4 linked regions of the Alligator mississippiensis genome follow. The protein of the gene in region 1 purifies or fractionates together with the protein of each later gene. This does not show direct contact. Links are inferred from orthologs where the notes say so. Each region holds a gene or a part of one and is shown in the gene's direction. Other genes may lie near its edges. The genes, in order: RPA3, SMARCAL1, RFC1 and RFWD3.

What was found.
Region 2: the proteins of RPA3 (region 1) and SMARCAL1 purify together in Homo sapiens (affinity purification with mass spectrometry; 3 studies listed by BioGRID and IntAct, with this or other methods). This does not show direct contact. The link is inferred for Alligator mississippiensis from reciprocal best matches to the Homo sapiens genes RPA3 and SMARCAL1.
Region 3: the proteins of RPA3 (region 1) and RFC1 purify together in Homo sapiens (affinity purification with mass spectrometry; 3 studies listed by BioGRID and IntAct, with this or other methods). This does not show direct contact. The link is inferred for Alligator mississippiensis from reciprocal best matches to the Homo sapiens genes RPA3 and RFC1.
Region 4: the proteins of RPA3 (region 1) and RFWD3 purify together in Homo sapiens (affinity purification with mass spectrometry; 5 studies listed by BioGRID and IntAct, with this or other methods). This does not show direct contact. The link is inferred for Alligator mississippiensis from reciprocal best matches to the Homo sapiens genes RPA3 and RFWD3.

The regions. Positions count from the first base shown.
Region 1 is NC_081828.1:170,932,410-170,940,377, forward strand, and holds the start of RPA3 (replication protein A 14 kDa subunit), read left to right. Parts: upstream 1-4,963; 5' UTR 4,964-5,051; coding exon 5,052-5,150; intron 5,151-5,344; coding exon 5,345-5,419; intron 5,420-7,217; coding exon 7,218-7,326; intron 7,327-7,968. UniProt on the Homo sapiens protein: As part of the heterotrimeric replication protein A complex (RPA/RP-A), binds and stabilizes single-stranded DNA intermediates that form during DNA replication or upon DNA stress.
Region 2 is NC_081827.1:252,486,191-252,494,163, forward strand, and holds the start of SMARCAL1 (SWI/SNF-related matrix-associated actin-dependent regulator of chromatin subfamily A-like protein 1), read left to right. Parts: upstream 1-4,965; 5' UTR 4,966-5,050; intron 5,051-5,324; 5' UTR 5,325-5,368; coding exon 5,369-6,161; intron 6,162-7,045; coding exon 7,046-7,096; intron 7,097-7,973. UniProt on the Homo sapiens protein: ATP-dependent annealing helicase that binds selectively to fork DNA relative to ssDNA or dsDNA and catalyzes the rewinding of the stably unwound DNA. Rewinds single-stranded DNA bubbles that are stably bound by replication protein A (RPA).
Region 3 is NC_081825.1:50,653,445-50,660,976, reverse strand, and holds the start of RFC1 (replication factor C subunit 1), read left to right. Parts: upstream 1-4,525; 5' UTR 4,526-4,629; coding exon 4,630-4,632; intron 4,633-7,532. UniProt on the Homo sapiens protein: Subunit of the replication factor C (RFC) complex which acts during elongation of primed DNA templates by DNA polymerases delta and epsilon, and is necessary for ATP-dependent loading of proliferating cell nuclear antigen (PCNA) onto primed DNA.
Region 4 is NC_081833.1:40,708,356-40,716,189, reverse strand, and holds the start of RFWD3 (E3 ubiquitin-protein ligase RFWD3), read left to right. Parts: upstream 1-4,824; 5' UTR 4,825-4,918; coding exon 4,919-4,964; intron 4,965-7,834. UniProt on the Homo sapiens protein: E3 ubiquitin-protein ligase required for the repair of DNA interstrand cross-links (ICL) in response to DNA damage. Plays a key role in RPA-mediated DNA damage signaling and repair.

The DNA.
Region 1 (7,968 bases):
AGCTAGCAATTCCTACTACTTCAGACAGATCGTAGACAGAAAATAAAAATACATTTGATTAATTTAAAATTATCCCGCCTCTATCAAGACAAGTGATCAACATCCATAAGTCAACATATTACTATGAGTAATAAAGCAAGACATTAACTCTGGCAAGTCTAGGAGAGCAAAATTATGCCGTTACACTAGTTGCACTTAAAGTTGGTATCAACTAAGCAAATTGTGTTGGTCTAACTAAAATACATATAAATTTTTCTTTTTAACAAATAAAGTTTTGTTTCTTTTTAATAAAGGAATATATATAATGTTAATTCAAGTGAGCCTACATGTACTGCAGGTTCTAAAACGTCCTAGGATAAACTATAGCTATACAATATAGCTAGATGTCAGGGGAAAAGACAGGTACATACATACCGAGGATGCTATTGTCCAAGCTCTTACAGACTTCCCATATCTTATAATAAAAATGAAAAGAAGGTAATCTTTATGTTCTGGGACAGTGAAAGTATATGCCATCAAAAAAATAAAAAGGAGAGAAAATCTAGTAACAGTGAAAGAACAGTCATGATGACATAAATACATTTATTAATAATACATAATTATTTTCTACCTTTTGGGACTTTTTACCATCTTTCATTTTCCCTGAGCGTGAGGAAAGGTATGTGAGCCCAAAAGCTTGCAGAAAAAGATTTTTTTGTGTGACCTTGTATTAAACTAACTAAGAGGTATCATCCAAGAGTATGAACCAAGAGTTCTAGAGTTGTGCACATCTATATAATACAAAGACATTTCTGTTAGGGTTGTATGAAGCTTTGGTTGCCGATTCGGTTCGGAGAAGATTTGGTCCGATTCGGAGATTGAATCACCAAATCCGAATTGAATCAGGAGACCAAAAAATGCCTCTGAATCAATCTGGAAGATTTGGAGATTCAGAAGGCAGTCTTTCAGGGGAACAGAAACTGAGACGAGGGAGGGGAAGTAGGGGGGGAAAGACTGACATCTGTAGCTGGCTAGTGACTGTGATCTTTCCCCGAGTCCCTGTTCAATCACAGTGCTCTGGGGGAGGGACGTAGAAATAGCATAAGCCTCTGTCTGCAGACTTTCTGTCCCTTTTGTGAGCTGTTTCTGCCTGAGCAAAAGAGGGGTGGGTGGCTGGCCCAGAAACAGGTAGGCGGGCGGAGATCTAACCAGCACCGGGAAGGCCCCCTGTTACAGTCTATCATCCCTGCTGTTTTCATCCAAATCTGCCTTAACACATACAAGTGACATGAGTTTTGCTTTCAACAGTTTGAGGTGCAGTTTCCCAGAAACCCGTGCACCTATTTCCTTGAAACTTGGCAGGCTTCATGCCCTCACAAGGGGCTACCATCTCTGCTGTTTTCATCTAAATTTGCCAAAAAAATGACAAAGTTATAGGTATTTCAGTGATTCCCCATTATAGTCTATTGCCAAATCACCGAATCTCTTCCAATCAGCGCTGAATCTTTCCAAGCCGATTTGGCCAAATCGATTCAGGACAGTGATCCAAATCTCCAAAACAAATCACTGTCCTTCAAATTGGTCAAATATGAATCAAATATTTCCCTATTTGCACAGGCCTAACTTCTGCATGCAGCATGGAATTTAATGCAGGAGGAGATAACAACAGATAGTTGAATTGATCTTAAGGAGGGAATGGGATAATTTTGTAACAGGTGTAAATATACAACCTACATTAAGATAAATCAATTGTTCAAAACAGTAGTTCTCAATCTTTCCCATACTAGCACCCCTCTGGGATTCCTATTCAACAAGGAAACACGGAACATGCAAGTTGTTTACAACCCTTAAGTTGCAAACTGTGCCTTGGGGCATAAACTAAACATAAAGTAAATGTTCTCCTTCCAAATCAGACAGCCCTGTACAACTGTTTAACTATATTACAGTGTTTATCACTGTGAGGCACACAGTACTGCCTACTACCTGAACAAAACAGAGCACACTCAGACCACAGGCTTTATTTATTAGTCCTACCACAAGAAGTTTGCATTCCTGAGAAACACCATAAAATAGACTTTAGCTCTTAGAAATCTGTTAGACAAGACACTTGTGCAAAATGAAGACAAAGCAGTAGGTAAGGAAGAGGAGATTAAAAAAGAAGATCCCCAGAAAGTTTAAACATAGCTATTTATGTAGTATTTTACAGAGGCAACACGAGAAATTGTTACATCCAGGTGGAGGGGGGGAAGGTGTCTGTGCATATTCACATGTAAAAAATAAGATTCCAGAGGTAATTTTTTAAAACTAGCAATGAGGTAGAACATGCAGCCCCAGAATGGTTAGCATGAGGCCCCTGGGCTCCCATCCAGCCATCTCCAATCCCCTCCCAGCCATCTCACTTCACCTTCTCCAATTTCTCTTGCCACAGCAACATGTAAGGGACTGGAGTGCCCAAGCTGTAAATGCAGGAAAGGAGCCAGGCTGCCCACACTGAAGGTGGATTCTGTGTACCTCCAGGAGAGTGAGAAACAGGTATTGAACCAGTGGTGACATGTAGGAGGGGCACGTGCTCCCCCTGAGCGTGCTGATGCACCCCCTGACAGGCTGTGCTCCCCGCTTAGGCTATGGGGGGGGGGGGGAGGTGGGAGTGCCAATGTTCCCCCCCCCCGAGAGTGCTGGCTGGAGCGCTGCGGCTGCTTTCTGGTCGGCGACATTGGCTGTGGGACAGATCCCCCCAGTCGCTGACTGGTCACTGGCGGGGGGCACATGCCTCCCCTCCCCCCCCAAGGTGGTACCAGTTGCCAACACATTGAACACATGGTGGGGTGAAGGGAAGCCAGGCTGCATGTGCAGTAGAGTTGGGAGGGGGGGAGGGAGGGAGTACTGATTTCACAGCACACTCGACTGGGAGGCTGGCTACCCAGTTCTCTCCCTACTCCCAACTGTGCATGTTGTGTGCAACTCTTCATCCCTGGCCAAGATGGGGGAGCCAAGCTGTGCTGCAAAGGGGTGCCTGCATGGAATGCACTGCAGGTAGGGGGTGTTGCCTGCACTGTGCGGGAGGGGGAGAGATGGGACGGGGACGAGACGGGACTGGTACTTAGCAGCCCAAGTGGTGTGCAGCCCCCAGCTGCCAGACATGGAACAGTCCTGAGGTAGAACAATGGAGGAATAGACTTCAATAACAGTAAAGTCAGAAGCTTGTATGATAGTGGTGTGCGAACAGACAGTAAAAATTCCATCTTGTGTTTTTTTTATGAAAGGAAGAGAGGGAACTCTTTCAAGCATCAAGCCCCAATCTGGAGCAAGAAGAATGCATTTCAACTAAACACACTGCCCTCAAGGGCTGGAATTCAGTCTCTCTCCTACCAATAGCTCTGTTTACAACTGTTTGGTCTCCACTAGTTTCATGCTCTAGGGCTGCACTTTCATAAAGAACTGTTCTGATGCATTTTTTCCAACTGCTCTATCTTGACATATGATGGATTAAAATGACTAAATACGCAACAGCTTGGTGCCTTCCCCTCCTCTCCAACTGGCTGGTATTCCCATTATGTTTACCTTATCCTCCCATCATTAAGATTGCAGCTCACATTCAAAGATTTAAAGTGGAATGAAGCCTTGGAACACAAAGACAAACACCGTCCCTGTATTGAGTGGGAGCATAAGAATGGATGTGAGAAAGGGAGAGGATAAAGGGACCATAATTAAGGTGTGGGCTAACTCTGAAACAGGGATAAGCAACCTCCAGCACAGGTGCCAGAGTGCAGCACTCTAAGGCATTTTGCTTGGCACCCGTACCTCTGGGTGGATGACAGGGAAGCAGCTGGGGCTACACAGCAACAGCAAGGATTGGGCCCCATTGTGGCTCCCCCACCATCTGCCCCTGGCATGCCAACATCTTACAAGTTGAAGTTGAGGGTGTTTTGGGCACTCTGCCCAAAAACGTTGCCGACCCATGCTCTAAGACAAGAAGCAGCAATGCAGAGGAAAAGTGGCTTTATAATTAGGCACTGAACTAAACACTCTGGAAGATCCGTGTTCAATCTCGAGCTCTGCCTCAGGTTGATGCTGGTAAGTCAGTCTAAAACACCAGTGGCTAATTAATTCTCTGCTTCACAAGGGCCATACGACTGTGAAGATAAAATTATTTAATGCATAAAAGGTGCCTGGCTGTCAGAGGGAGAGAGGGGCAAGTATTCTGGACAGACAAACAAGGGCCAGTGCTTCATGCGTCTTGCATGCAGCGTCCTCATTATTACCGGATGTGGGAGCAGAGCCAATGTTATCTGCAGTAAATCGGACAGGTTACAACACAGCGGCTCTTAATCTTTTTTAGACTCAAGGCCTGCTCTCAGCCTTCAGGCAACCCCTGAAGTTGCCAGCTCTTCCTTTTCACTCGGTTTCTAGCTACAGCAAAATTACAGAGGGGTGGGTCCCTCTGGAGCAAAGCGCCCAGAGGGCGGGTGGGGGGCAGGGTGCTCGGCCGGCACGAAGGAGATCCGAGGGGCCCACTGGCAAGCAGGGCAGAAGGAGCTGATGGAATGATGACGAAAGTCACTACGCCGAGCGAAGCAAAGACGTCGTCACGAGGACACATCTGACGAAGCAAATCCCGCGCCTAAGAAAGCCGAGGCAGTGCCAAGGCCCGGCCCGGGGACGAGGCAGGTGGCAGGGCGGGAGCGGGCCGGGCCAGACTGAGGCGGGGCAATAACGGGCCCGGGTTCCCGCCGCGCCCCGCAGCAACGGACACGGGACGCGAGACGCGGGGGGGGGGAGGGCGGACACTTGGGCCGGGCGGAGCCACGCGCGCGCGCGCTGCCACTTACCACCTCCCGCCGCCGCCTTCGCTTCCGGGCCGGGCCGGCGCGTCGCCGTGACGTAGAACCCCCGCGCGCCACCCAGGAGCCGCCGGTTACGTCATCGCGCCCTCGGGTTGGGTTTTCTTTTTTTCTTTTTGCCCCTGAGCAGCCTGATTGGTGGTCGGCGCGGCGGCCCCGCCCCTCCCCTGCGTGCGTCCGCGTTGCCGAGGTAACCAGGAGGCAGCGGCGGGGCGCGGGAAGCCGCTCAACATGGAGGACGTGCACGAGGGCCCGCGGCCGCGCATCACCACCAGCCAGCTCGCGCAGCACGTGGGACAGCCCGTCTGCTTCGTGGGCCGCGTGCAAAAGGTACCGGCGCTGGCCGGGGCCTTTCGGGGGTCGCGCATGCTCCGCTCTTTAGGCCGAGGCCTCGCCCCTCCCCCTCCCCACTGGAGCCAGGCTGGGGGGTTGCGCCGGCTGCACACGGGGAAGACTTGGTGTAGGAAGGAGTGACGTCGCTCCTTCGCACTCCATTTTGACGTCACTTTCTCCGCCTTCCTCAGATTCACCCGAGCGGGAAAATGTTTGTCCTCTCGGACGGCGAAGGCAAGAGCGCCACCGTGGAGCTCAGCGAGCCTGTAAGTAGCTGCAAGCGACTGACCCTGCAGTGGGACTGGCTACGAGACCTGCTGGGGTTACCTGCACCAGGGCTTGCTCCTTGGTGCCTCGCAGGGGCTGGGCAGCAGCTCTGCAGAAAAGGACCTGGGGGTTTCAGTGGACAGGAAGCAGAATATGAGCCAGCAGTGTGCCCTTGCTGCCGAGAAGGCGAATGGCATACTGGGCTGCATTGGTAGGTGTTTTGCCAGTAGGTCAAGGCAAGTGATTCTTCCCCTCTGTTCACCACTGGTGGGGTCACATCTGGAGTACTGTGTTCAGTTTTGGGCCCCCCACTATAGAAAGGATTTGGACAAATTGGGGAAGAGTCCAGTGGAGGGCAATGACAATGGTGAGGGGGCTGGGGCACATGATTTCTGAGGAGAGGCTGAGGGAACTGGGCTTATTTAGTGTAGAGAAGACCAAGGGAGGCTTAGTAGCAGCCTTCAACTTCCTGAGGTGGGGTTACAAAGAGGATGCGGCTAGACTTCTCAGTGGTGGCAGATGACAGAACAAGGAGCAACGGTCTCTGGTTGCATCAAGGGAAGTTTAGGTTAGATATTAGGAAAAACCTCCTCTCTAGGAGAGTAGTAAAGCACTGGAACTGGTTACCCAGAGAGGCTGTTGAATCTCCAAATTAGAGGTTTTAAGACCTGGCTAGACAAAGCTTTGGCTGGGATGATCTAGTTAGGGATGGTCCTGCTTTGAGTAGGGGGTTGGACTAGGTGACCTCCTGAGGTCCTGTCCAACCAGTTTTCCATGATGCTGTTTGCTGATCTGCCTGCTGGAAGCAGGATAAATTTTGACTGGAAAAAAAGCTTAATCCTTTCAGCAAGGAGGTGCTTTAACCCTTCATTGGTATGATCTTTCCCTTTTCTTTCCTGTGCTTGTTTTACTTAAGGCATTTAAAATATATTTCCTTACTGGCATCTTTTCTGCAGCATCTGTACCAAACTGTCTGAATTCTTACCAGATCCCTGCTTAGAACACTTTTCATACTTCCAGTAACTGTCCTAGCCAGTTAGACGAAAAAGTTCTCTAAAATAAAATACATAATTGCATTTAAACACTTAAGACTTGCATCTTTCTCCTGGTGAATACTAGGTGCTGCAGTTGAATTTCCAACTCCTCTTCCCTTCATCAGCTGTCCATTTGGGCACTAACAAGTTCTGTCTCTCTTTCATGTTTTCTGTGATGTTTCATTTAATGGAGGGATTTTTCTGATTGGCATATTTTATACATTCCTCTATTTGTACTCCTGCAAAAACCTATTAGTGAAAATCCTTGACTAAAAGACTTGTCATAGCCTGTGCACTCAATTGCAGTTTCTACCCTTACAAGTATAGGAACAACCCTCATAATACACCTCTAGGATACACAGTATTTTTCTGCCTCTGTACCAGCTTACAGAGAGCATTAACCAAACTTTAACAGGGTTTGGACAACCCATCCAGGCTTCTGGTCACCGCTGCTCTTTGTGCCCTTTGCTTGGGTAAGGGGTTAAATGCTGTAATGTGATGCTTCTTTTAAGATGCATCATCTTTTGTTTATTTTTAGGAAGCTAAAGCCAGTTAGAAAACTACTCATCTCATAAAATTGAGTTTGATTTTTAGACTTATTTTTCAGCAGTATTTTATTTTCATGAAGTGGAGCAAACAAGCAGTTGCAATAAACCAAGCATTCCATTTTCTCAAGTTGCAAACTGATACTGGGTATGTAAGTAGCTGAGTACAAAAGAATAAGACAACTGTGGCAGTAACATGTTTTCTGTATGTTCACCAGTTAGATGAAGAAATCTCTGGAGTCCTTGAAGTGGTGGGAAGAGTAACAAATCAGGCAACTATCATGTGTATGTCATATGTCCAGTTCAGAGAAGATAAAAGCCCTTTTGGTAAGTAAAGATATGTCTTAAGATTGAATGTTGTTTTGCATTCTAAAAGTTATTTTTAAAGAAGAGCAGAGGAAAGATCTGCTTTATCCTTTTTCCTGGCAGGGGCATATACATAGAGTAGCTGTTTCCAGAAATCTGTCTCCTGTAGAGTTGTTCTTGAGTTGGTGATCATAATGCAACTATATGCAATATCCTCATGGGAAATGCACCAAAATGAACAGCAAGGATTGATTTACAGCTAGTCAAAATGAATCTAAAACTGTTTAAAAAGGAAAATCCTGAAGTCCTAGAACAAGTATGGGGCTATCATGTAACCTTTAATTATGCATAATTCCTTTAGTCCTGAACAGGAAAAGGAAACAGACAAACTGTATATAGTATTATTAGAGAGAGAGCTGCAAGATTGTATTCAGTCAAATATATTCTTACACAGGTTACTGTACCACTCCCATTACTGGTACCCGAAAAGTGCACTATTCTGCATATAGAAAGATCTGTTTCTCCATTCCCTAGTTCAGTGGATTTGGTTATTGTCCTTTTGTCTGGCTTACTCACAATGGACAGCAAGTAGTTTAGCTCTTGAATTTTAAGAGACTTAGATACTCCTGACTTGAGTGCAAATCACCACAGCTCCTGTAAAGG
Region 2 (7,973 bases), on another chromosome or scaffold:
CTAAGAAAGCCCCTACTAGCTCATGAAGCAGAAGGCAAGGCAGCGGGGCACCTTAGAGACTAACTCATTCAGGGAGACATGAGCTTTCACAGGCAACCTACATCACCAGATGCATTGCACTGTTGACTCGTATTTGGCTTGTGCCACGACCCCCAGCTCCTTTTCTGTGACCTGTCCAGCCCTTGTTTATTATATGATGCATGCTACAGCGTCCACCTGGGACGCAAGCATCTCGGAGTAAAGGAAAAACCCTTTCATGTGGATGTCAAGAGCTGGTACCCCTATGCCGACGTAGAGATCCAATAACACATAGGAATGGCATTGCCAAACACCCATTGAACTCCCTTCTCCCCATGCACCCTGCATTCAGCTTTTGAAAACCTGAAGCAGCAGTAAATCTTTCTAACTGTTAGGGGTTCATTTTGCTAAAGCATTATCCATCTTAGCATCATGTCTGATTTCTGAATGAGATTGACTCAGTCAGTAGGAGCAGGCCTATAACTTATACTGCTTCTCATTTCCTGAAGCGCTGGAATTGTGCTTCTCCCTAATGTTATTTTATTAAGATGTGATTTGTCATCATATTGCTGAAAACAAGATAAAATGCAGGGTAATTAAATTTCTTATTTAACTCGATGAGCATCTGCTTTCTGTAGTCATATTTTTTAAGCAGCACCTTTGTAGTAGTTACTCAGTCTCTGGTCATAATAATATTTGTTATGATCAAAACAGGCAAATAAAGTACCAGAAATAAGTAACCACGTTATGGCATCTAGTACCATATAATTTATAATAATACATGTATTCAACAGCTTCTACCCCAAGTTTCCAACAAGGCTTTACAATGCCCTGATCTTTCAAACAGCTACGACAATGCATGATACCTGCTGCTACAAGCAGTCCTTTTGACATCAATGAGATGGACCGGTAGCAGTAGGAAGCACATGTGACAGCAGGATCTGGCCCGTCCTTCACAGATATACAAACTCAGGTTCCCTTTGCTGACATCTTAATGAGCAGACTTCGATTTCTAGTGAACGGGGTTTGGCTCTGACTGAGCGCATCACTTTATTCAAGGGACAAGCTTAAACATAGGCTTAACCCCCAAGATGTGCTAATAACTTACTGAAGTCCTTGGGATACTAGAACATGTTCAAAATTGAACTCATGCTTAAGCGCTTTGCTTGAGAGGTGGATAAGTGCTGAGCCATAGGACTGTGTTATTGGTTCACTGCTGACCACAGGGATGACAGCCACGTACCGGGTCCTCCTTTATTATTAGTGAAGCATCGACTGCTTGCTTACTGCTGTACAAAGTGCAGCAGAGGTGGGCACGTTTCATGGATGAAGTATATCAGTCACTAGCTTTAGTTCTGGAAGAGCCTTTGTAGCAGGCTTCACCTACTGCCAGTCGGCGAAGCCCCACGAATAGTTCATCTTCTGGAGCAGACCCTTGGGCCCTAACACTGTTTGGATCACACACAGTATTACTGACTGCCATGTTCTTCTCAGGGCTCCTTACTTCTCCCTTTCTCTGTGACACTCCCCATATCAGCTCTCCCCTAACAGTCACAAAACTGTCTCCTTCTCAGTTTCCTATCCTGACTATTGATTCACCCCACTCTGCTTGACCTATAACTGCCCTGCATGCTCAGCATGTCTGGAGAGTGCTTTGAGATCCTCCGATGAGAAACATTACTGCGGTGCAATGCAGAAGCACTATTAATATTGCATTGATGGTTAATTATTTAGTGTAGGTGACCTTTGAGGCTGCCGCCTAAAGGACTTCTCTGGATAGCTGGGTGATGGGCCCTGATTATCTGGGTCTTTCCCACCCCAAGAAGACTAAACTGCAACAGGCCGGGGCTATGGCCAGAATTTAATCAATAGGAGCCTCAAGTTGGGCTCAAAAGGTCAAGACTTCAGCAATAGATAAGTTGTTTGAGCTTGAAAATGAGGCCCCTAATATAAAATAGATTTGGGAACCCAACTTTTAAATTTTTTTTCCAAGATATTGGTCTATCCTTTCACCAGTGGTGCAACACATAACAGCTAAGAGACTGGTTTTACAGCACCAGTGCAACAAAAGCATAGCAGCACAAAGATCACTGTGGCTGCATGGGCTGCAGTTCTCAGCTGAAAGTGCAAGTAGGAACCTTGTTGAGGCAGGTGGAAGCTGGAAAAGACAGGCTATAATCTTTTTGAGGGGTTATACTGTAAGCAGAAGCAGGAAGATTTCTGTGCGCTAGAAAGATCCAGGATACTACAGTATCTTCAAAAAGGAGGGGGCAGCCCATTTTCTTTTCATTGGGTGGTGCAATGTCGGGAAGAACTGTCCACCAAGACAGCTGTCAATGTGGAGGAAGAGAGAGAGAGAGAGAGAGAGATCAACAGCCCTGTGCATATAAAGTACTCACAGCAAGCTGCAGGAAACGCTGCACGGCTCTCCCAGTTCAGGGTATTGGGATTCGTCAAATCTATTGTGCGTTCAGTGCTCAGCATCTGGTGGTACAAGAGAGATGGAGACAACGGGGAAGAATTTGGAGAAGACCAACAAGAACAGGTGTAGCCAGAGGGAAGTGAGTTAGGGGAGACAGATCTGAGCTGCTATGTTCAGCTTCAGATGAAAATCCCCAACTTTCTCAACAATTCGGGCTACTGGGGTTTGACACCCTGGTTCCACCCCTTCAGGAAATGGGCCCGAAACGCGGATCCAAGCATGACTCTGAAGGCTGTGGGATGAGGAGTGTAGGCTGCTGACCCACTTAAAAGTCCAAGAAACCCTAATGTCACCCTGAGAGCCTGGAGCAAACCCTTTCCATCAGGACTCAGCTTATTATCTGAGCACAGAACAAAGCTATTCCCTCAACCAAAGCAGGGTCCCAAGAGGCCTTTCCTTTTCCAGCTCTTCCCCTAGTCCCAAGGGCTAATAAAGCTCTCCTCCTCCCTTTCCCCGAGTGATTCACTGTAAATCACTTGATCAGTCTCTGCTGGGAGATAGCTGGTCTGGGGACATGAGGTTGGGTCCAGCTCTCCTTAAAGGTTCAGGTAAAGCTTCAGCTCAACGGTTGCAGTCTGGGCCTATATTTATCTGTGAAAAAAGAGACAAAGTACAAATCTGAGTAACAGGATTAAATATTAACCAGTTAACTAGTCTATGCTGCAGTCAAGGGCAGACATACCTAGGATGGCCCTAAACTAGCTCGCTCAGGGGCCGATAACAGTAGATGGAGCTCGGGGCGGGGGGCGTAAAATGAGTACCCATCAGTCATACTCTCACTCCTCGAGGTAGAAAGTTTAAAGATACAAAATTATGCAAGGATCACCTAGTCCAACTTGTAGGTCCACCTGAGTGACCTACAGTCAGAAGAGTGACTGCCTCATTGGCATGCTCTAGGAGGAAACATGAGGATTGTCTCCAAGTATCTCAAAGGTGCAAAAGAGGGGAGTCTTCAAGGTTGTTTCAGGGCAAGGGACAAAATGAGTAAAGGAAGGTTTAGGCAGGACATCACAGAGACTATCCAAGATCAGTTAATGATGTAACGTAGGAAGCTGTGGCAAGACTTCTTTAGGTCTCATCATCATGGCTGAGCTGACGCATGGGAATCAAAGATCAGTTAGATTGCAGAGCAGCCCTAAAATCACAAGTCCCTCCGATTTCAGAGAAAGGAGAATCCCCTTTAGCCACTAATAGCACAGGACCTCTGATACACAGCTCACCGCTTCTGATTTCACCTGGCAGAGGGCAGCCGTGACACACAACCGCCAGATCACTGCATGAAAGCAGGAGTGTAAGGACATTAGCTGCGTGTTAGCTGGCACACCTGCATGTGTACACAGTGGTGCATGTGTGTGAACTCGCCTGTGTCTCTCTGTGCATATCAGCATGTGTGCAGAAAGGTGGGGTGTACAATGCTGCCTGTTTGTGTCTGTGCATTTTGTGTGTGTTTTTATCCAATGAATGTGCGCGCATGCATAGAACGTGTGTGTGTGTGTGTGTGTGTGTGTGCATGTGCTATCCAGGTTGTAGCTGGATTGGTCTAAAGGAAAGGGCAATCGGGGCTTTTGGTAGCGGTGTGATATCTTACAAGATTTTTGCAAAAAAAAGTCTTTAATTGCAAGCTTTCAGGCACAAAAATCCTTCGACAGGCATCGGAGAGAAGATTGTAAAAGTGCTTCTGGGCAGAAATGTGTGTGCATGCACGTGTGTGTGTATGCATGCGCGTGCATGTGTATATATGGGTGCGCGTGCATGTGCATATGTGCATGTATATGCGTGTGCTTATGCACGTGTGTATGCACGTGCGTGTGTATATGTGTGCTTACACATGTGCACGCATGAGTGTGTGTGCGTGTGTATATGTGTGCGTGCATGTGTGCATACATGTATTGTGTGTGTGTGCACGTGTGTGCATGTATATGTGTGCGCGTGTGCACACCCTCTCTGCTAGAGGGACAAGTCGCAGCTTACCCGTTGCGTTATCCGTCTTCGGCCTGCCCCCGCTATTCTCTGCCTCGCGGCAATCTCAGCATTTTAATCAGGAAGTAATTTGGGGACGACCTTCTTCATTCGGAGGAGCAGAGAGAGGGTCGAAGAAGCACTAGCTCACGGTGCTGTCAGCGGTCCCTAATCCCGCGGTGCTGAGAGGCTGGGGAACGATGGGCCTCCACTTACCCTCCCTGCATTATACCCAATGTGGCTTCCACCGCCCGGCGGGCCCCACCACATCTCCCCCTCCTTGGCACCCTCTTATTCCCAGTGCAACCAGCTTTGCTCTGTGTGTGTGTGTGTGGGTGGGAGGGGGGGGTGCATCCCATAATAATACTGCTGGTGGGGGGGGTCACTGGGGCAGGGCAGGCCCATGAGCAGAACACAGCACCACAACAAAAAAAACTACAGCTCCCAGCATGCGGCGGGCCTCCCGGCATGCCGCGCGCGCGCCGGCTCCTCCCCGGAGGCGCTGTCGGCGCGGTGCCTCCTGGGAGTTGTAGTCCGCGCGGCTGCGCGCCATCAGCGGCGGGGGCTGAGCCCCACTGGGCCTCCATCAAGGTGGGGGAGGGGGGCGTCATTTTTTTAGGAGAGGGGTCAAAGGTGGTGACCCCTGAATGGGGGGGAGGGGGGCGTATTGTTCCCTTTGGCCGAGGGGGCGTGCCCCTGGTTTTGAGGCCTCAGTTTCCATCTCCTGGGGCCGTGAGGGCCTGACTTGTGCGCGGGGGGGAGGGGAGGGATGCACAGAGCAGGAAATAAAAGCCTTCGGAGGGGCATGGATAAAAATTGCCTATTTTTACTTTTCCTTTATTTTTTTGTTTTAATTTATTTTTAGTTTTTAAAGGCGGCCGCATCCCGAATTCCCCTCAGGCGTGGAAGATGTCCTCCGGCCTCACGGAAGAGCAGAAACGACGGATCGAGGAGAACAGGCAGAAGGCGCTGGCCCGGAGAGCGGAGCGGCGAGCGGCACCGGGGGAGGTCGGCCGTCCAGCCTCCCAGCGCCTGGATCCAGCAAGCCTGCAGCAAGATGGCCGGCGTGTCGGGTCGTGTCACCAGCCCCCCGGCGGCCAGAGCCAGCAGAAGGACGGCGTTGAGAAAGGGCCGAGTCCCGTCGACACACATGCGCATCCGCCGGCGGCTGGTTTGTGCGGAGCGCAACCGAATAATTACCCGCAGGGCTCGAACCGAGCAGGCGGCACAAGGCCGTTCCCGCCAGCGGATGCCTGGAGCCATCCCCTGCCGCCGCCGCGCTCGGGAGCGCAGCATCAGCAAGCGCCGCAGCAGCCGAAGTACTATTTGGCGAGCAAAAACCCCGCAGAAGCCTCGTGCCCTCGATTCGCGGATATGCACTGTCGGACCGAATACACGCCGCTGCCAAGCGACTCGATGCTGACAGATGCCAGCAGACCCCCGTGCGGACCCTGCCCCGAGACGTGTGGTGGCAGCAGCGTGTCTCATTTCTACAGCACGGTGCAGCCCTTTGCCCCGTTGAAAGAGGCTAAGGTGCAGAAAAGGGACAGCTGCGGTGGTGGGAGCTCTGCCGTTCACAGCAAAGCACGCTGTGCTCTCAAAGGGAGGTGCGTGAGACACGGCGGAGACCGCTTCCAGGTTGAAGTGGGTTACAGCGCGGAGCTCATTGCCGTGTTTAAGACCGTACCTAGCAGAAGTTACGGTAAGAGTTCTCACGCCCCGTGTTAAGGTTGGGTTTATGTCTGCGTCGTTATGTCGGATCTTGGTCTTTTGAGTAACAATGCCTATATTTCCTGTTTATACGGGAAATGCAGCCTTTGGCCTGATGGAGCATGGCGATAATTTCATAGATTTCATAGACATTAGGGCTGGAAGGGACCTCGGAAGATGATCGAGTCCGGCCCCCTGCCCAAAGAGCAGGAAGTCAGCTGGGGTCATAGGATCCCAGCAAGATAAGCATCCAGTTTGCTCTTGAATAATGTTACATATCGTTTTGATTGCGGATGTGAAAAATAAGGCAGACAAAGCTGCAGAAGAATGCAAGGAGTAATTTGCTTACGTGGCTCTTTTCCTAAATCATCCGAGTTGAAACCCCTAGCTTTTTGGAAAGGACCCTGAGATTTTAGTGACTCCAGGCGGTCCCATCTTTTCAGGAGGGCTGTTGGGGATGCAGTAATGGTTAGTCAGTTTTAGTTGCTTTGGAGCAGGCTGATAGCCGTGGCTCTCACCAGTACCAGCCCAACAATACAGTCTCCAGCTGTCCTGTGCACTAAAAGGAGAATCTAGATGTCCTTATGTGTGGTTTCTCCCCCATCTTAATTTGCAAAATCCTCTGTCCTTGTCGCACTCTGCTCCTTTCTGGGATTTACGTCCTCATTTTTATGGATGTATAGGTTTTGTTGCCCCGGTGCTTAGTCCTTCTGGAGTTGTATTTCTAGTTGTCCCACGTTTTTATGATCTAGGAACGGTAGTCTTGTGTGAAGAGTCTGCAAGGATAGATCGGATTGCCTTTTGCCTGGTATTTTAATATTTAACATGCAGTCATTTTTCCCATCCACAAATGACTCAAAATTGGTCCTTTTTCAGATCCGGCGACGAAGATGTGGAATTTTAGCCTGGAAGACTACTGCCATCTCAGTAAGTCAGAGAACTGTTGAGTGATAAGCAGGATCAAAGACTTTGTCTCCTGCTTATACGATTATTGTTTGCTGTATTATTTCTTGGAGCAATAGAGAGGCAAAGCTGTTCAAACAGGAGACCTGTTTTTCAGGCATCAGGCTTATGAGATTCTGCTGTGAATCGCGGTAGTTGGTCAGAATTAACTGAGGTTTGAGGTGTTATCTAAATGCCAAACAGAATTTTTTTTCTCAATCGCTAACTGAATATTTCAGAAGCTAACAAACTACACTCTAGGCAAAAATGGCTCAGTTCATAAAAGTACAATCTGCAAGGCCATGTGGAGAAACTGAAAATGTTCCAGAAGTGCAGCTGGCTAATACTGTATTGAGAAATTGAATCCGATGCTATTTCTTGAACTGTAAAAAAAAAAAAAAAAAAAAAAAAAAAATGTTGGTTTCTTGATATATTTTTTTTGTTCATTTTCCTATTATTTGGGTGGGTGGAAAGTGAATTATTGTGATCCCCCTGGGCTTTCTGTTAAGCTGCCAGTGCGGTTGGTTGCCTTGGTATGTGGAATATCAGGCATAAGGGTTTTTTTCATTCTGGACCAGGGGAGATAAGGAACAGTTACAAAGATGACATATTTCAAGTGGGCTGTTCAATGCAAGCAGCACCGACTTCAAGAAAAGCAGTGTGAACAGTTAGGCCAATGCTGGGCGTTTTACAAACTCCACCCCTTAGGCCTGATTTCAGCTTCCCACTGTCTCGCCAGGTATTTATTACATGCTGCCTCTTTCTTCCCTGAAGGTATTTAAGAAACAGAAGAGTCCCTGCTCCAAAGAGTTTACAGTCTAAGTAGGCAACTTGTAGCTGCCATGTCAATGTTTTTAAAATA
Region 3 (7,532 bases), on another chromosome or scaffold:
TGTACACAGACTCTGTATGTAGACTATGTATATATATATATATATATATATTTATATATATATATAATCATAAGCTTTTTCTGAGCTCAAGACAGTTTGTGCTATATATATTATACTAGCCAATTGCCCATCAAGAATGACAGGGCGGGGGGAGCGGCTGGGGATGGAGCCCTGTGCTCCCCCTGTCCAGGTTCGCTCCCCCCTTCCCTCCTGCTGCTTGGGGTCCAGGCCCATTCCCCCACTCCCTGCTGCACCGGCGGGGGGAGGAGAGGAATGGGCCCGGGCCCAATGTGGGCGAGGACCGGGCCTGAGGGTGGGGAGAAGCCGGGCCACTGCAGTGGGGGGGTGGGGAGCAGTGGGCCTGGGCTGACCCAGTGGTGGCAGGGGGATGGGAGGAGTGGGCTTGGAGCTGACGTGGGGAAGGGGGAGTGGGGGAGGAGTGGGCCCGGGCCTGACACGGGGGAGGAGGCTGCTGTGTTGGGTCGCGTTGGGCTAGGCCCGCTTCCCCCACGGCAGCAGTCATGGGGGAAGGGGAGGAGTGGGCCCGGACCTGATGCGTGGGAGAAACCGGGCCGTCACATTGGGGGAGCAGCGGACCTGGGCTGACTCGGTGGTGGAGACAGGGGGGACGGAAGAAATGGGCTTGGAACTGATGTGGGGGAGAGGGGATGGGGGAAGAGTGGGACTGGGCCTGAGGGGGGGAGGCCCACTGCTCCCCTCCCCCCACTGCTGCCACATCAGGCTGGGTCTGCTGCTCTACCCACCACCACTGTGGCAGGCTGGCTTCTCCCTCCTGCCTCGGGCCTGGTCCCATTCCTCTCCCAGCCTCCCCTCTCCCCCGTGTTGGCCCCAAGCTCGATCTGCCTGCCCCCCCCCCCACTGCTGGGTCAGCCCAGGCCTGCTGCTCCTCTCGCTGTGGTGGCCCAACTTCTCCTTACCCTTGGGCCCAGTCCTCCCCCACATGAGGCCTGGACCCATCCCTCCCCCCTCCATCGCCACCGTGGCGGTGTGCCCACTATTCCCCCCACCACCATTGCATCATCCTGCGTCAGGCCCTGCAGATGGTGGTGACAATGGAAGGGGGGAGGGGCGTGCAGAGGCCAGTGCTGATGGCTTTGCCCCCACCGCGGCATCCTGATCTCACTCCCCCCACAATGCTGCCACTGCCGTCACTTGCAAGGAGTAAGGGGGGGCAAGGCCAGCTCTGTTGGCCTCGCTGCCCCCCTCTGCTCCATCCTTGCCACCTGCAGGGAGCAAGATGGGGGGGGCGAGGGCAGCACTGCTGGCCTCGCCCCCCCTGTTCTGTCCGCCATGTTGCTACCGCCTCCAGGGAACAGGGAGCTGTGCTGGCCTCACCCCCGCTCCACCCCTGTGTCCCCACCATCGTAGCAGTGCTCCACCGCTGCCACCTCCTGTTCAAAGGCTTGTTCACACTCTGATTGGCTGTTTGTCAGCCAATCAGAGTGTGAATAAAGCGTTATGGACAGACAGAAACAGACTTAGGCTTGTATAATATTTGAATATATCTATATATATATTTAGTTTAATCTATAAGGTACAAATCTATATATATACACACATACACACATACATATATAGTTAGATTAGACAGATAGATAGTATCTATAGACTATAGTATCTATAGACTATATATCTATCTCGGGGCAGGCAAAATACAGACTGTGGTCTGAATCCAGCCTGCCAAGACATTCTGTCTGGCCTGTGGGTCCCCTAAAAAATTTAGAGAATATTTATCTGCCCCAGCAGCCTGTCAAAGCTGACGAGTCAAGGGCAGTAGGACCCAGGGGGAGTTTCAGCAGGACGGAACAGCCCAGCCCCACCCACCCCCAGCCATTTCACTCCCTTCCTGCCCCCACCTTGCTCCAGCACCATGTGGCTGCTGGCTACATCACCGGACAGGGGAGCACGGGGCTGCGCTGGTATTTGCATTGCATATGTGCATGCAGGCAGGGACGGTGTGTGTGTTGGGGGGGGAGGGGGGGGGCAGGCAAGGACAGTGTGTGTGTGGACAGGTAGGAGCAGTTGTTAGGCAAATAGCATAAATACCAGCTTGATGTTAGGTAAATAACATGAAAATAGACTTTTGCGTATTGCTTTTAATCTTATGTATTTTCTTAAGTTTTGCATTGCCTTAAGAAACTCCATTTTGTATTGCTCTGTAGCTTGACATAAGTGCTTGACCTTTTACTCTTTAGTATGTTGTATGGGTGAGCGTGTATTTGTGGAAAAGGAAAACATCAGCTGGTGACTGGTTTAAGAATGCAGACAGATAAAAGACCAAACAAGAATCCACCCCAGAACAGCAAGAGAACAACGGCAATTGACATTGACAATGCATAGGGGTTCACGTGGGTGCACGTGCACCCACTGAGATCGGCTGTGCACCCCCTGGAAGTGCCAGCCACGAAACTGGAAGTGCCGGTAGAAATGAACTTCTGGTTTCACTGCTGGCTTGGCAGTCAGTCATTGGGGGACCCCCTGCATTGGCAATCTGGTACCCCCCAGACTCAGGAGGCACCAGTCGCCCATGGCAATCAGCCTTCAAGAAAGAACACAATGATAACCCAGCAAAAGCCCAGAGAACTGGGTGAATTGACAAGGCTATAAAAGATGGGGTGATATACTATGCACCTTATATCATATATATATATATATATATATATATATCAGCCAAGTTGATCGTGAGTAGGAGCTGGGCCAGTTTACTTCCTGCCAGTCCATCCCATCAGACAAAATGATGCTCCAGGATGACAAGCAGAACAAGACCCCAAATCAATATGTTGATATATTATAATATATGATATAATATATATACATATAATATATAATATAATATATACATATAATATATACACATTATATATAATATATAATATATACATATTATATATATTATAATAATATATATATATGTATATATATTATATCATATATTATAATATATCAACATATTGATTTGGGGTCTTGTTCTGCTTGTCATCCTGGAGCATCATTTTGTCTGATGGGATGGACTGGCAGGAAGTGGACTGGCCCAGCTCCCACTCATGATCAACTTGGCTGGCCACCAAATTGATTCAAGCACCAATAAGACTGGTAACGTATACCAGCGCAGAATAGAAATTGGGGTATGAATGTGGTGTGTGTGTATTAGGTGCTTAATCTGTAAATGCGGCATCTTGCCTTATCTTCCCTCATAAGGTCTCGCTCGTGATTTGAGCAATTGGCAATTTGTGTAACACAATGTGTATGTATGCAGGCAGGGACAGTGTGTGTGTTCATAGACTAAGTCCCATACACACACCCAACCATACATATGCAACCACGCCCTCTTGCACTGCCATATACACAGACCTCCCACATGCCCCAGGCACCCAGCCCCCCACAAACCCCATACCCCCCCCCGCCACATATCCACAAACACACCCCCTCACTCCACACCTGCCCACAAACCTATACCCACCCCCCACAATATACAAGAGTAAGACTTCATTTTATGCTATTGTCCAATCACCTCTATATACACTACACAAACACATGTAAATCAGGAGAAAAATATTTTTTGAAACCAAATTAATGAATGCTTTTTAGAATATGATTTGGTATTTTTCTGGTTCCAAGATGGCAAAACCTCTGCTGAAAGGATAACTTCCCTGGGCAAGGGGAGGGACTTATGGTGGCAAAGGTCGGGGGTTAGGAGGAGGGACTTCTGGTCACAAGAAGGCAACCAGGGGCCGGGCATCTGTCAAGGCGCGGGACTACTAGTATGGTCTGGACAGCTTGTCAAAACTGAAATAACTGCACCCCGCATCTAGCTCTCTCTAAACTACATTAGTTTATAAGGTGCAAGTCTACCCTACCGTCTCTAGTTCTGCAAGAAATGCCAGGGGACTAAGAGGCAAGGAAGAGCAGGAGCCCCCCAAAGGACTGCATTTGGAGCATGACCTGCTTGGGTTGTTATAACCGTTTTGGATTCTGCAGGTTCTGTGACAGCCTGAGCAGGTTTCCCCCCTCTAGAAACGTGGGGAGCAGGGCATGGAAGTACGATTTTTTTTAAAGGCTTTAATCAGCGGACATTTGAAAGGTTTCTTCCCCATTTTTCCTGAATGGACCCTTGCATCTGCCCCAGTAGGTGCGTTAGTGTCCGAGAGACGCTGTAGCCGCGAGGGAGCCCACAGACATGATGCGAGCAGGCACTGCCGAGGGTGACATCTTTTACAGGCCCAGCAGTGCCAACGGACAGGGCTAGCCCGCCTTTCTGAGCTTTCCTCCCCCGACCCCGGGCAAAGCAGGGCCGGGGCGCGCCAGGCCCCCGGGCCGAATCCAGCAGCCGGAACGTGCCCGAGCAGACGCTGCCGCTGAGCCCAGTCACGCAACAACCCGGCAAAGCGGGTGGGGCCTAGCAAAGCTTTAGCTGCCAACTCCGGCCGAGCCCGGGCCCCGCCCCCGCGTTTTGCGTTCCGAACGCTCCTGACCGCCGCCCGCCCCGCTCCGCCCCGCCCCGCCCCGCGTGCCTGTGACATCATCTGGGCGCGCCAGCGGCCGGAGTTGGCGCGAAGGGGGATGGAGATTGGCGCCGTCCCACTAACGGGATAAACCGTCGCCCGCAGCATGGTGAGCGGCGCCTGGCCCGGCCCGGCCCGGCCCGGCCTGCTGGGTGGGGGTGGGAGCGGGAGCCCGGCGGGGCTTCGGGCTGGTGCCCCCGGGTTGGAGCTGCCCTGAGGAGCCCGCGGGGCGGCCCGGCCTGACGCGCGGGTCTCGCTCCCCACCGCGCCCCGGGGCTCCCCACATCTGAGTCGCGCCGGCAACAACCGGATGCCCCCGGCGGGACCCGCTGTCACGTGCGGGCAGGTCCTGCCTTCCCTCTGGTTGCTGCCTGTGAAAACTCGCACCTTTCTGAGATGCTCTGAGATGCCCCCAGCCCTGTGCTCTGCTCCCTACCCAGCCACTGTGCCACACCGTGCACTGAGCCCCGTGTGTGCTCTGTGTCAGTGGTGTCAGCGCAGGCACCCCTGTCCCTCCGCTACTCCTGGGGCCATGCGCTTGAAACCACTGTCTCAGAGAAACGGGGGGGCTGGTGGCTCCTAAGTCCCTTGGAAGCTTCTGCGAAGGTAACTCTGATATTGCAGCCTGCCTGGTGTGGTAGGAGCTTGGCCCTGAGATCTGACACCAGGCTGATGCCTGAGAGAGACTCTTCCTCCCACTAAAAGGTCTTAATGTTTAAGGATGTAAGCAGGACTCTGCTGGGTCTGGCCAAAAGTTCTGCAGCCTGGTATCTTGTCTGAGAGTGGCAAGAGCTTGGGGTGTTTAGCCTTGGCATCTGGCCTGCAGGGTTTCCCGTGGGTTGAGAAATTTGGCAGTGGGGGAGCAAGGCCCCTAGCCACTTCCCCTGTGACTGGATTGGGACTAGGTCACCCCTTGCTGCTGGATTGGGGCTGGGCTGCTCCCCTCCTTGCTCTGCATGGCAAGATTAGGCCCTGTCAAGGCCCCTGTGCACCAGATTGGACCCACCAGCAGGATCTGGCTTATGGCGGGACCAGGCACCACTTATCCGGCCCTTGGGGCAAAAACGTTGAAACACCACTGTTTTGGAGGAACAGTCTACTCCTGTTTATGCCAGGAGCTCTATGCAGGTGTAAATCAACAGATACAATCAGCTTTAAACCAAGATGAGAGCTTCCTTGTAGGGATAAAATTTTGTTTGAAGTTTGTTTAATTTCAGTTGGTGCGACTTCCATGACAATTGGGCCTTTAGTGTCAATGTTCGTACAGTCTTGCACCAAAATGGCCAAAGCCTAAATTAAAAATAATGTAGTTATTTTGGTTTAAGCCTGTTTGAATACATTTGTTACCTTCTCATTACAGTCCTCATGCTTGATTTGATGAGCTGGACTTTCCTATCACATACAGCTGTGGAATGCAAATAATTAATTGACAAATGGAGGATTTGGGAATACACTTAGCTTTACAGTACACCAATCTACCAGAATAAGCATTCTGGCTATGGCTCAGGAATTGTGTGTGCTGGGTGAATATATTCAGTTCATTTTTTTTTTTTTTTTTTTTTTTTTTTTTTTTTAAGATAGCATTGGTAAGAGCAGAGGTATATGTGTGGGAAGTGCTGTGTGGAGTAGTATCACAATATAAATATTCACACAATTTGAGAGTTTGAAAAGTTGTATTTGTATTATGTTCCAATGGCTTTAGCTTAGGAAACTTTTTAAGATTATTTTGTAAGGAGGAAAGGAGACTGACCAGGACCAGCATGGTCAGGGTGTCCAGCCAGCTGGATAGGATGGGACCGCAGGCCAGTGGGGAGTGGGATGAGTGAGTAGGGCTGGTGCTGGGATGTTATGGCACTGATGGGCGCAGGGCTTGAGCTCAGGGAGGAGCTGTGATCTATTCCCTACATGTCCCTGACCATGGAATAGGGCCTGTTGCAAGAAGTGGATCATAGCTCTGCCCTGGGCCCCATGCTGCCCTGTGATCCCTGTCCTTTCCACCTGTCCTACTCCTGGACACCACTTCCTGCCTGTCTGCAGTTCCTTCTCATCCTGGCTGCATGCCCTGCCTGTGTAGGTCCTATCCCCAGCTGTGGGTGTGCACAGGCAGCAGGGCTGGGTCTAGCAGCAGTGGGAGCTGGGAAGAGCTGCTCCTGCTGGGGCTGCCAGGAAGTGAGTCCAGCCACTGTGGTGCCTCAGCCCTGCTGCATGCCTGGGGGTGGTGGGACTGGCCTCAGTACTATAGCTTGGGCTATCCCCCATGCCTAGGCTGGGTGGGGCTGGACAAAATCCCTTGGTGGGAGGGGTCTGGTCCACAGGCTGTATTTTGCCTACCCCTGGACTAGATGATTTCTTGAGGTCCCTTCTAGCCTTACTTCTAGAGGTACAATGGTCCCATATTGTATCGGCATTAATAAAAGAAAATTTGGTCCCATACTGTATTGGCATTCATCTGCTTTTTTTTTGGCTGCTCTCCAAGTTGCCAGGCTGCATATTGGCAATCAGGTTGGTATCAGCAGATATGGCTCGTTAAAAATTGGCTGTCGGTATTGGCCTAAAAAATCTCTATCAGTGCACCCCTGCTTCTCTATGAGTTATATGAGAGTGCTTCTCAGCAGATGTAGACTGAAATGGATGCATCATTTAATTATCCATTCTATTTCACAATTGGTAGTACTGAAGAAGAGCAGCATGCATAAAAAGCAGGGCATGTCCTGCTCTAACAAGCAAGTCAAGAAGAAAGGCACAAAATATATGTTTTTCATGATGGACAACTCTAAATTATGGAAAGAGAATCATGCTATGAAGGGGTTGTTTGTGGGACATTTCAGTCGCTGGTGGTCAACAGCTAGGCAAAAGAACTGTGAAGTACAGATTGCATCAATGAAGATGAGACTCTGATCAGGATCTGCATTAATGCAAGTCATCCATAGTCAATTTTGCTTCTTGTGCTAGGGGTTTTCTTTGGGATGTCCAAATTGGTGTCTAATTGGGGCATATCTACAGGGTGGG
Region 4 (7,834 bases), on another chromosome or scaffold:
GAGAATTACCAACTCAGTGCTGGTAACACTGGCTTCAGCAGGGATGCTGGTGTTTGTACAGCAATCTTTCCATTTGATGTGGAGGATTTTCCAGAGGCATTGTTGATGGTACCTCTCTAGGTTCTTGAGATGATGATGGTAGGCCACCCATGTTTCACATCTGTAATAGGAGGGGAGGGGTAATGGCTGCATTGTGGACCTGGATCTTGGTGTCTTTCTTGAGATTGCAATTATTAAAGACAAAAAAATGCAATTTCCCAAAGGAGACACTTGCACTCCAGATCTTGAACTGGATCTCCTCATCAGTGTTCACTCTCTGAGAGAGGGGGTTACTGAGATAGGGGAAGTGCTTGACTATTTCCAGGGTCTTTCCCTCAGTGATAATTTCATGGCCTACTGCAGGCTGATAGACTACTTTAGTCTTCTTGATGTTGAGAGACTCAAAATTCAGTAGGCTTCTCCACAGATCCAGCGTGGTCTGGAGGTTGTTCTCAGTGTGCACAAGGATGGTGCAGTCCTCAGCATATTGAAGGTCAGTATGGTTGTTTTGAGGACTCTGGTCTTTTGAGTGAAAACATTCCAGATCTATGCAAAGAACCACTTTGAAGAGTGGTCTCATTACCCTAGGGGTGATTCATTTTCAGTTCGGGTGCTAACAAAAAGTTAAAATATTTGTATGCTGAGAAAGCTGAACCAATGCCAAATGTAACAGTCCTGGTTTTTCTCCAGGTTTACCTTAAACCTTACTTACCCCTTTGTGGTCAAGAATGTTAATGTTAGTGCATTTTCATGAAGGTGAATACTTCAGAAAAAGAGCTTTTAAGAAGACGTATACCTCAAACTTAAGAGCATGCCACACAAAATTAAAACCCTGAAATTAAACAAGTGCTACAGCAAACAAAGATTTCTTACTCTTCAGATTGTTGTTATCCGATGATACGTTTGTAGTTAGATTCATATCAGACTAGAATTCTACTGATGGCCAAACTTCTGACTTCAATTTCCAGATCAAAGATGGCATTGTCCATTTCAAGGATGGCACCTATGTCCCACATGGTCAGTCATGACTCCAAAATATTTGAACTCTGTTATGACCCATCCCTTTTTTGTCACTTTAAAACATTTAAGTAGGTGCCCCAACATTTCTGGTGGCCAAGGATATTCTTTAATAAGGACACAATGTGAAATGGCATTTCCCCTCATGCCATTAACAACCACATTTCAACCTGGGATATTCACTTCCATCTATTTCATTTGTTGACCTCCCCAGCTCTGAAGACAACAGCTGTTCTAGTCATTGTTCAACTAATTAATGTTATATTTCATCCTAGAGTCCCTACCTAAGGAAAAGGCACAAACCTGTTTGAATGTTTTCTTTCAGACCTCATGATTTACAATCTAGCATTGCTACCAAGAGGCAAGTAAAGCAGTTTTAGCATCAACTTATGAAACTTCTGAACACTGAACAGAAATAACATATTGACTCTTCCATAAGAGCTTATAGTAATTGGCTGATGTGATTGCAGAATTGCTGGCCATTATATTTGAAAACTCTTGGAGCTTGGGGAGGTCCCAGATGATTGGAAAATGGCAAATATAGTGCCCATCTTTAAAAAAGTGATGGAGGAGGATCCAGGGAACTACAGACCAGTCAGCCTTACCTCAGTCCCTGGAAAAATCATGGCACAGGTCCTTAAGGAATCCATTTCTAGGCACTTGGAGGAGAAGAAAGTGATTAGGAATAGTCAGCATGAATTGACCAAGGACAAGTCATTCCTGACTGTCCTGATTATGTTCTATAATGATAACCAGCTCTGTGGATGTTTGGAAAGCAGTAGGCATGATATACCTTGACTTCAGCAAAGCTTTTGATATAGTCTCCCACAGCATTCTTGCAAGCAAGCTAAGGAAGTATGGGTTGCATGAATGAACTGTGAGGTGGATAGAAAGCTGGCTAGATAGGTGGGCTCAACAGTATCAATAGCTCAATGTCTAGATGGCAGCTGGTATAAAGTAGAGTGGCCCAGGGGTCCTGGGGCTGATTTTTATTCAATATATTCATTAACAATTTGGAAGATGGGATGGAGTGCTTCCTCAGCAAGTTTGTGGATGACACCAAGATGGTGGGAATAGTAAATATGCTGGAGAATAGGGCTAGGATTCAGGGTGACATCAACAAATTGGACTGGATCAAAAGAAATCTCATGAGGTTCAACAAGGACAAATGCGAAGTCCTACACTTAAGATGCTAGGATCCTATACACTGCTACATGCTTGGGACCAACTGGCTAAGAGGCAGCTCTGAAGAAAAGGACCTGGGAGTTACAGTGGACGATAAGCTGGATATGAGTCAACAGTGTGCCCTTGTTGCCAGGAAGGCTGTCTCAGACGGCCAGAGCCAAGTTGAGGTGATCTACAAATTGCTTGGCCGTTGGGTGGGCTGGTGAATGGAGAGGCAGACAAAACGTATTGGTTGCAAAAAGGCTTTACTTATGCCGCTAGTAGCCGCGACGCAGGTGGTCCGATCGCTTAAATAATTACACGAGTTGCTCCAGCTGGCAAAAACCCAGGCCAGCGAATCTGTAAACGAACCAGGCATGCAGGAAAAGGGGTACGTCGAGGGATAGCATTCGGCGATGGGGAGAAAAATCGATAGTTGATCAGGCTATCGATTCGCTCTGCCACGTCAGGAATTCTTTTAAGTCACTCTGCAGCATGCTCAAAGTTCTCCGACTTGGGCGGAAGTCGCACAGAATTTTATACGGCTAACAAGCCAATCGCTAGCCGCCACATAGGAATAATTTAGAATCAGCCAATGATAGGACACAAATTTGCATACAAATGGCGGGAACTCTCTTGCACCAGAGTTTTCTATTGCAACAGAAAACTTTTGCTGTGCACAGAGACTCTCATGTGGCGAGAAAAATTCCATTGTGCCGAGGCACTTAAAATCATTGGGTTATGACAAAGGCTAACAGCATAGTGGGCTGCATTAATAGGAATATTGCCAGCAGATTGAGGAAATTATTCCACTCTATTTTGCACTGGTGAGGCCACATCTGGAGTATTATGTCCAGCTTTGAGTCCTCCCCTACAGAAAGGACGTGGACAAATTGGAGAGAGTCCAGTGGAGGGCAATGAAAATGGGTAGGGGGTTGGAGCACATGGCTTATGAGGGAACTGGGCTTAGTCTGCAGAAAAAAAGAGTGAGCAGGGATCTGATACCTGAAGGGTGGTTCCAAAGAGGATGGAGCTAAACTGTTCTTAGTGATGGTAGATGACAGAACAAGAGCAATCGTTTCAAGTTGCAGGAACGGAAGTTTAGCTCAGTTATTAGGAAAAACTGTCTCACTAGCGGGGTGGTGAAGCACTGGAATGGGTTACCTAGTGAGGCTGGTGGAATCTCCATCCTTGGAGGTTTTTAAGGGCCAGCTTGACAAAGCCCTGGCTGGGATGATGTAGTTGGGGATGGTCCTGCTTTGAGCAGGGGGTTGGACGAGATGACCTCTTGAGGTCCCTTCCAACCTTAATTTTCTATGATTCTAATCATGCAGACCAGCAGCATCAATCAGAAGGCACCAAGTTTTGCTTTTGGCAACAGGGTATGGCTGAAGACAGAAACTCATCTGCATTTAACCTTCAAGCAAGTTGTGCCAACAATAAATTAGCTTATTCAAAGTCCTTCAGCAAATCATCCCAATCACTTTCAAACTATAGGAAGCTAAGTACATGAAAATGAATCCAGCAACTCCCTCTCCTTCCTCTGTTTGGTCATTGCAGCATTGGAGGTCATCAGATGCTAGCTGTAAAAAGGGGTTTGCAAGTAGCCCATTAGTCTCCTTCCTTTGCTGCTGCCTTGTTTGGCTTAGCAGAACAAAGGCTGAGAGGGGATGTGATTGTTCTCTATATACAAACTCATCCAGGGAGTAAGCACCAGGAAAGAGTCAGAAGATATAGCCCACGTGCCAGATCTGACCCATGGTGGCCTATCATCTGAATCATATTGCTGCCCGGGGGTCTCAGATTGGACCAGGGTTGCAGACTCAGACTGGTTTGTGCTGTATCATATCTGCTGCATGGGCCAGATCCTGCACATATGGAGCTAGGTCCAGCACTTGCACTACATGTGACGCGTGCTGCCTGTAGTGCTTGCACTGGAGCAGCCCCGTGCTCTGGATCCAAAGTGCAGAGCTGGTCTGTGGGCCGGCTCTGGTCCCCCGATCAGCCCCGCTACTCATCCGACCGTCTCTGTGCGACTTACCCAGCCTGTGGGGCTAGATGCGTTTGATATCCCTGCTCTAAAAGAAACGTAAACCAGAACACATCCTTATAAACTCATCGGAAATATATTTGGCCTGGAATTCGGAAGTTCTCGTAGCAGCGTGAAGAGCGATGTTGTCGCCGTGACAGTCCCCAGAACACGTGAGGCGAGGACTCCTGAGGGAGACATTTCTTACTAGACCAACTCCGTAGCTGGTACAATAACAGGGCACACCTCAGAGATCCTCGTCTCCTCGCAGGCAAGTGCAAGAGCTCCCCCCGCCCCGCCCGGCATTTGAATGCAAGCTTTCTCGCGCCTTTTACCTCGTCAGACGGCTCCTCCAATGAAAATGCCCTTCCGGGCGCTGTGTCCTGCCTCCGATTTTGCTGATCGACAGGCAACTCGCCAATCATAATTGAGCGCTGGGGCATCATTTCTGCCCCGTGCCGCCGCGTCGCCTGTCTGGCCAATAAAAGTAGAGTGTGTGAACCTCCCCTCCTCCTTCCTCTCGGCCCCTGGCGAACGGGCCGCGTCCGCATCCAATAAGAATGCTCATTGCGACGGCGGGCTGTCCAATAGGAGAAGGGGTTGCGTTGATGGAGGGCTCAGCCCCTCAATGAGGTGGCGGGGCGGGATGTGAGGCCGCGGCGGGAGGCGATGGCGGCTGCGGCGGGACGGTTGGAGCTGGCGGCCGCGGCGCGAGGTGAGCGCGGGCTCGGCCCGCACAGACGCGCTGCTCCGTCCCGGCCGCCCCCTGCGGTACTGCGAGGGGCGCGGGATCCTGCGGGCAGCGCCCGGCCGAGCCGCCGGAGCCCGGCCCGCGCACGGTGTCTGTCTGGTCTCCGGGGCCGGTTCGCCGCTTTCTTGCGCTGCCTCATATTGACGCGTGCTGAGATGAGGTGGATGCGGGCCAGGCTGGCTCCCCCTTCCCACCGCTGTCCTTTGCCCTGAGGCAGTGCTGCGGGTCGGCTCTGCCTGCTGCAGCCCCAGGCAAGGAGCACGTAATGGCTTCTGTCTCTCTCACCAGGATGTAGCAGGGGTGGCAGCTCCAGCCGTAGCTGACGGCCAGGGCTGCCAGCGCTGTGCCGGGAGCCAGCATGTGCTCTGTGCCCTGGGCCAGAGTCAAACCCAGAGCCGCAGCTCGAGGCATGGGGTGAGGGGCAGACTGCTTGACTCCTCCAGCACTTGCCCTCATGATGCTGCATTGCTCATTGTAGTGGTGGGGGAGACAAATTTAACATGACCCTCCAATAATGAAGTTTTTCCACATATGGGAGGCATGGGCAACGGCAGGATGCTGCTACCTGCTCAGAAATGCAGGCTGTGCAAGGCTCCGAGCGGGGGTGGGGGCTGGGCCCCAGCTGCACTGGAGCAGGCAGCAGCAGCACTGGGAGGGGCAGCTATGGGATGGGCTACAGCCATTTCATTTCTCTGTAGCCCCTCTGCCCAGCACCACTACCATCCACTGCAAGTGCTGGGCTCTTCCCACCTCCTGAGGAAGAGCCCAGAACAGCCTCCAGCCCCAGGCGCATAGCGGCAGCCCACCTTCACCCCGCACGCAGATCTGGGGGGGCACCTGCCCATGCCCCCTGGATGAGCCATGGCTCTGTCCCATATCCTGCCTCACCCCGACCCTCTCCCTCACCAAGAGGACCCCAGTTGCCTGTCCCCCCCCAACAGACTTACTGGCTGAACAGTACTGTCAGGCTGCACTCCTGGCTGTGTGCATTAGGGCTCTGAAGCTTCAGTTGCCGATTTGATTTGGAGGAGATTCAGCCCGATTCGGCAACCAAATCTCTGAATCCAAATCGAATCAGGAGGCCTATTAAAAGGTCTGAATCAAATCCAAATCCTCTGAATTGATCATTGATCCTGATCGACCAGGGAGAGGCAGGCACAGCTGGGCGGCTGCAGGTTCTCCTGTAGCTCCTTTGGCTGTGCCTGCCTCTCCCTGGGCGGGGGGAGCCATGGGAGAAGCCCCCATGGCTGTCCTCCTCGGCCCCATCCCCTGCACTCACTGGCTGCAGGAGCAGCGATTGGGGCCTCTGAGGACTTGTGGCAGAGCCCCCCTGCGCAACAGGGGGCAGCAGGGATTGCCTCCCCACACACCTGGCACCTGTGGGGAAACTCCCCAATGGTGTGTGTGCAGTGCCGTGTGCTATCTGGGAGCTGGGGCCGCTGGGGCTGAGCGCTGCCAGGCTCCGGCTGACTGCTGGAGCTACCCCAGCTCCCAGACAGTGCGCACAGGGAGCCACGCTGCTCCCGTGCAATGCGACAGCTGCCACGCAGGTGCCAGGTGTGGGGAGTGATCCCTACGCTATACAGGGGGCTCTGCCACAAGCCTTTAGAGGCCCTGGTCACAGCTGCTACAGCCAGTGAGTGTGGGGTGCTTTTTTTTTTTAAGTGCTGGGAGGCTCGGCCAGGCGAGGGATGTGGCTGGGCAGGGCAGCTATGGGGGCTTCTCCCATGGCTCCCCCCGCCCAGGGGGAGGCAGGCACAGCTAGAAGAGCTGTGAGAGGGCTTGTAGCCACCCAGCTCTGCTTGCCTCTCCCCAGCTGATCCGAATCTCCAATTCTGATTTGACCAAATTGAATGGGGACAGTGATATGAATCACCGAATTGAATCAGTGTCCTCCGAATTAGCCAAATCCGAATCGAATACTTCCTTATTCGCGCAGACCTTGTGTGCGTGCTGCAGCTGTGCACACACGCGTAACATTTATCAGTGACATTATCAGCCACATCAGCCAAAAAAGGCTGATTGCGTTTAATGTCAATTTTCCTTTTTTCGATGTCGATACCATATAGACTGATATATCAATGTACCTCTAATGTCTATTCATAGATTCATAGATGCTAGGGTTGGAAGGGACCTCAATAGATCATCGAGTCTGACCCCCTGCATAGGCAGGAAAGAGTGCTGGGTTCAGATGACCCCAGATAGATGCTTATCTAACCTCCTCTTGAAGACCCCCAGGGTAGGAGAGAGTACCACCTCCCTTGGGAGCCCATTCCAGACCTTGGCCACTCTAACTGTGAAGAAGTTCTTCCTAATGTCTAGTCTAAATCTGCTCTCTGCTAGCTTGTGGCCATTATTTCTTGTAACCCCCGGGGGTGCCTTGGTGAATAAAACCTCACCAATTCCCTTCTGTGCCCCCATGATGAACTTATAGGCAGCCACAAGGTCGCCTCTCAACCTTCTCTTTCGGAGGCTGAAGAGGTCCAGGTGCCTCAGTCTCTCCTCATAGGGCTTGGCCCGCAAGCCCTTAACCGTACGAGTGGCCCTTCTCTGGTCCTCCTTCCTCCCCTTCTTGAAAATGGGGACCACGTTGGCCCTTTTCCAGTCCTCCGGGACCTGGCCTGTGCGCCACGACTGCTCAAATATTACCGCCAGTGGTTGCGCAGTGACGTCAGCCAGTGCCTTCAGTACCCTCGGATGGAGCTCATCCGGGCCTGCTGACTTAAAGGCATCCAGTTCCTCCAAGTGACCCTGCACCATCTCAGGGTCTATCTTATTCACAAATATTCATTTGTATTTTTCACCATAGTATCTGAGAACGTTATGATACTTTT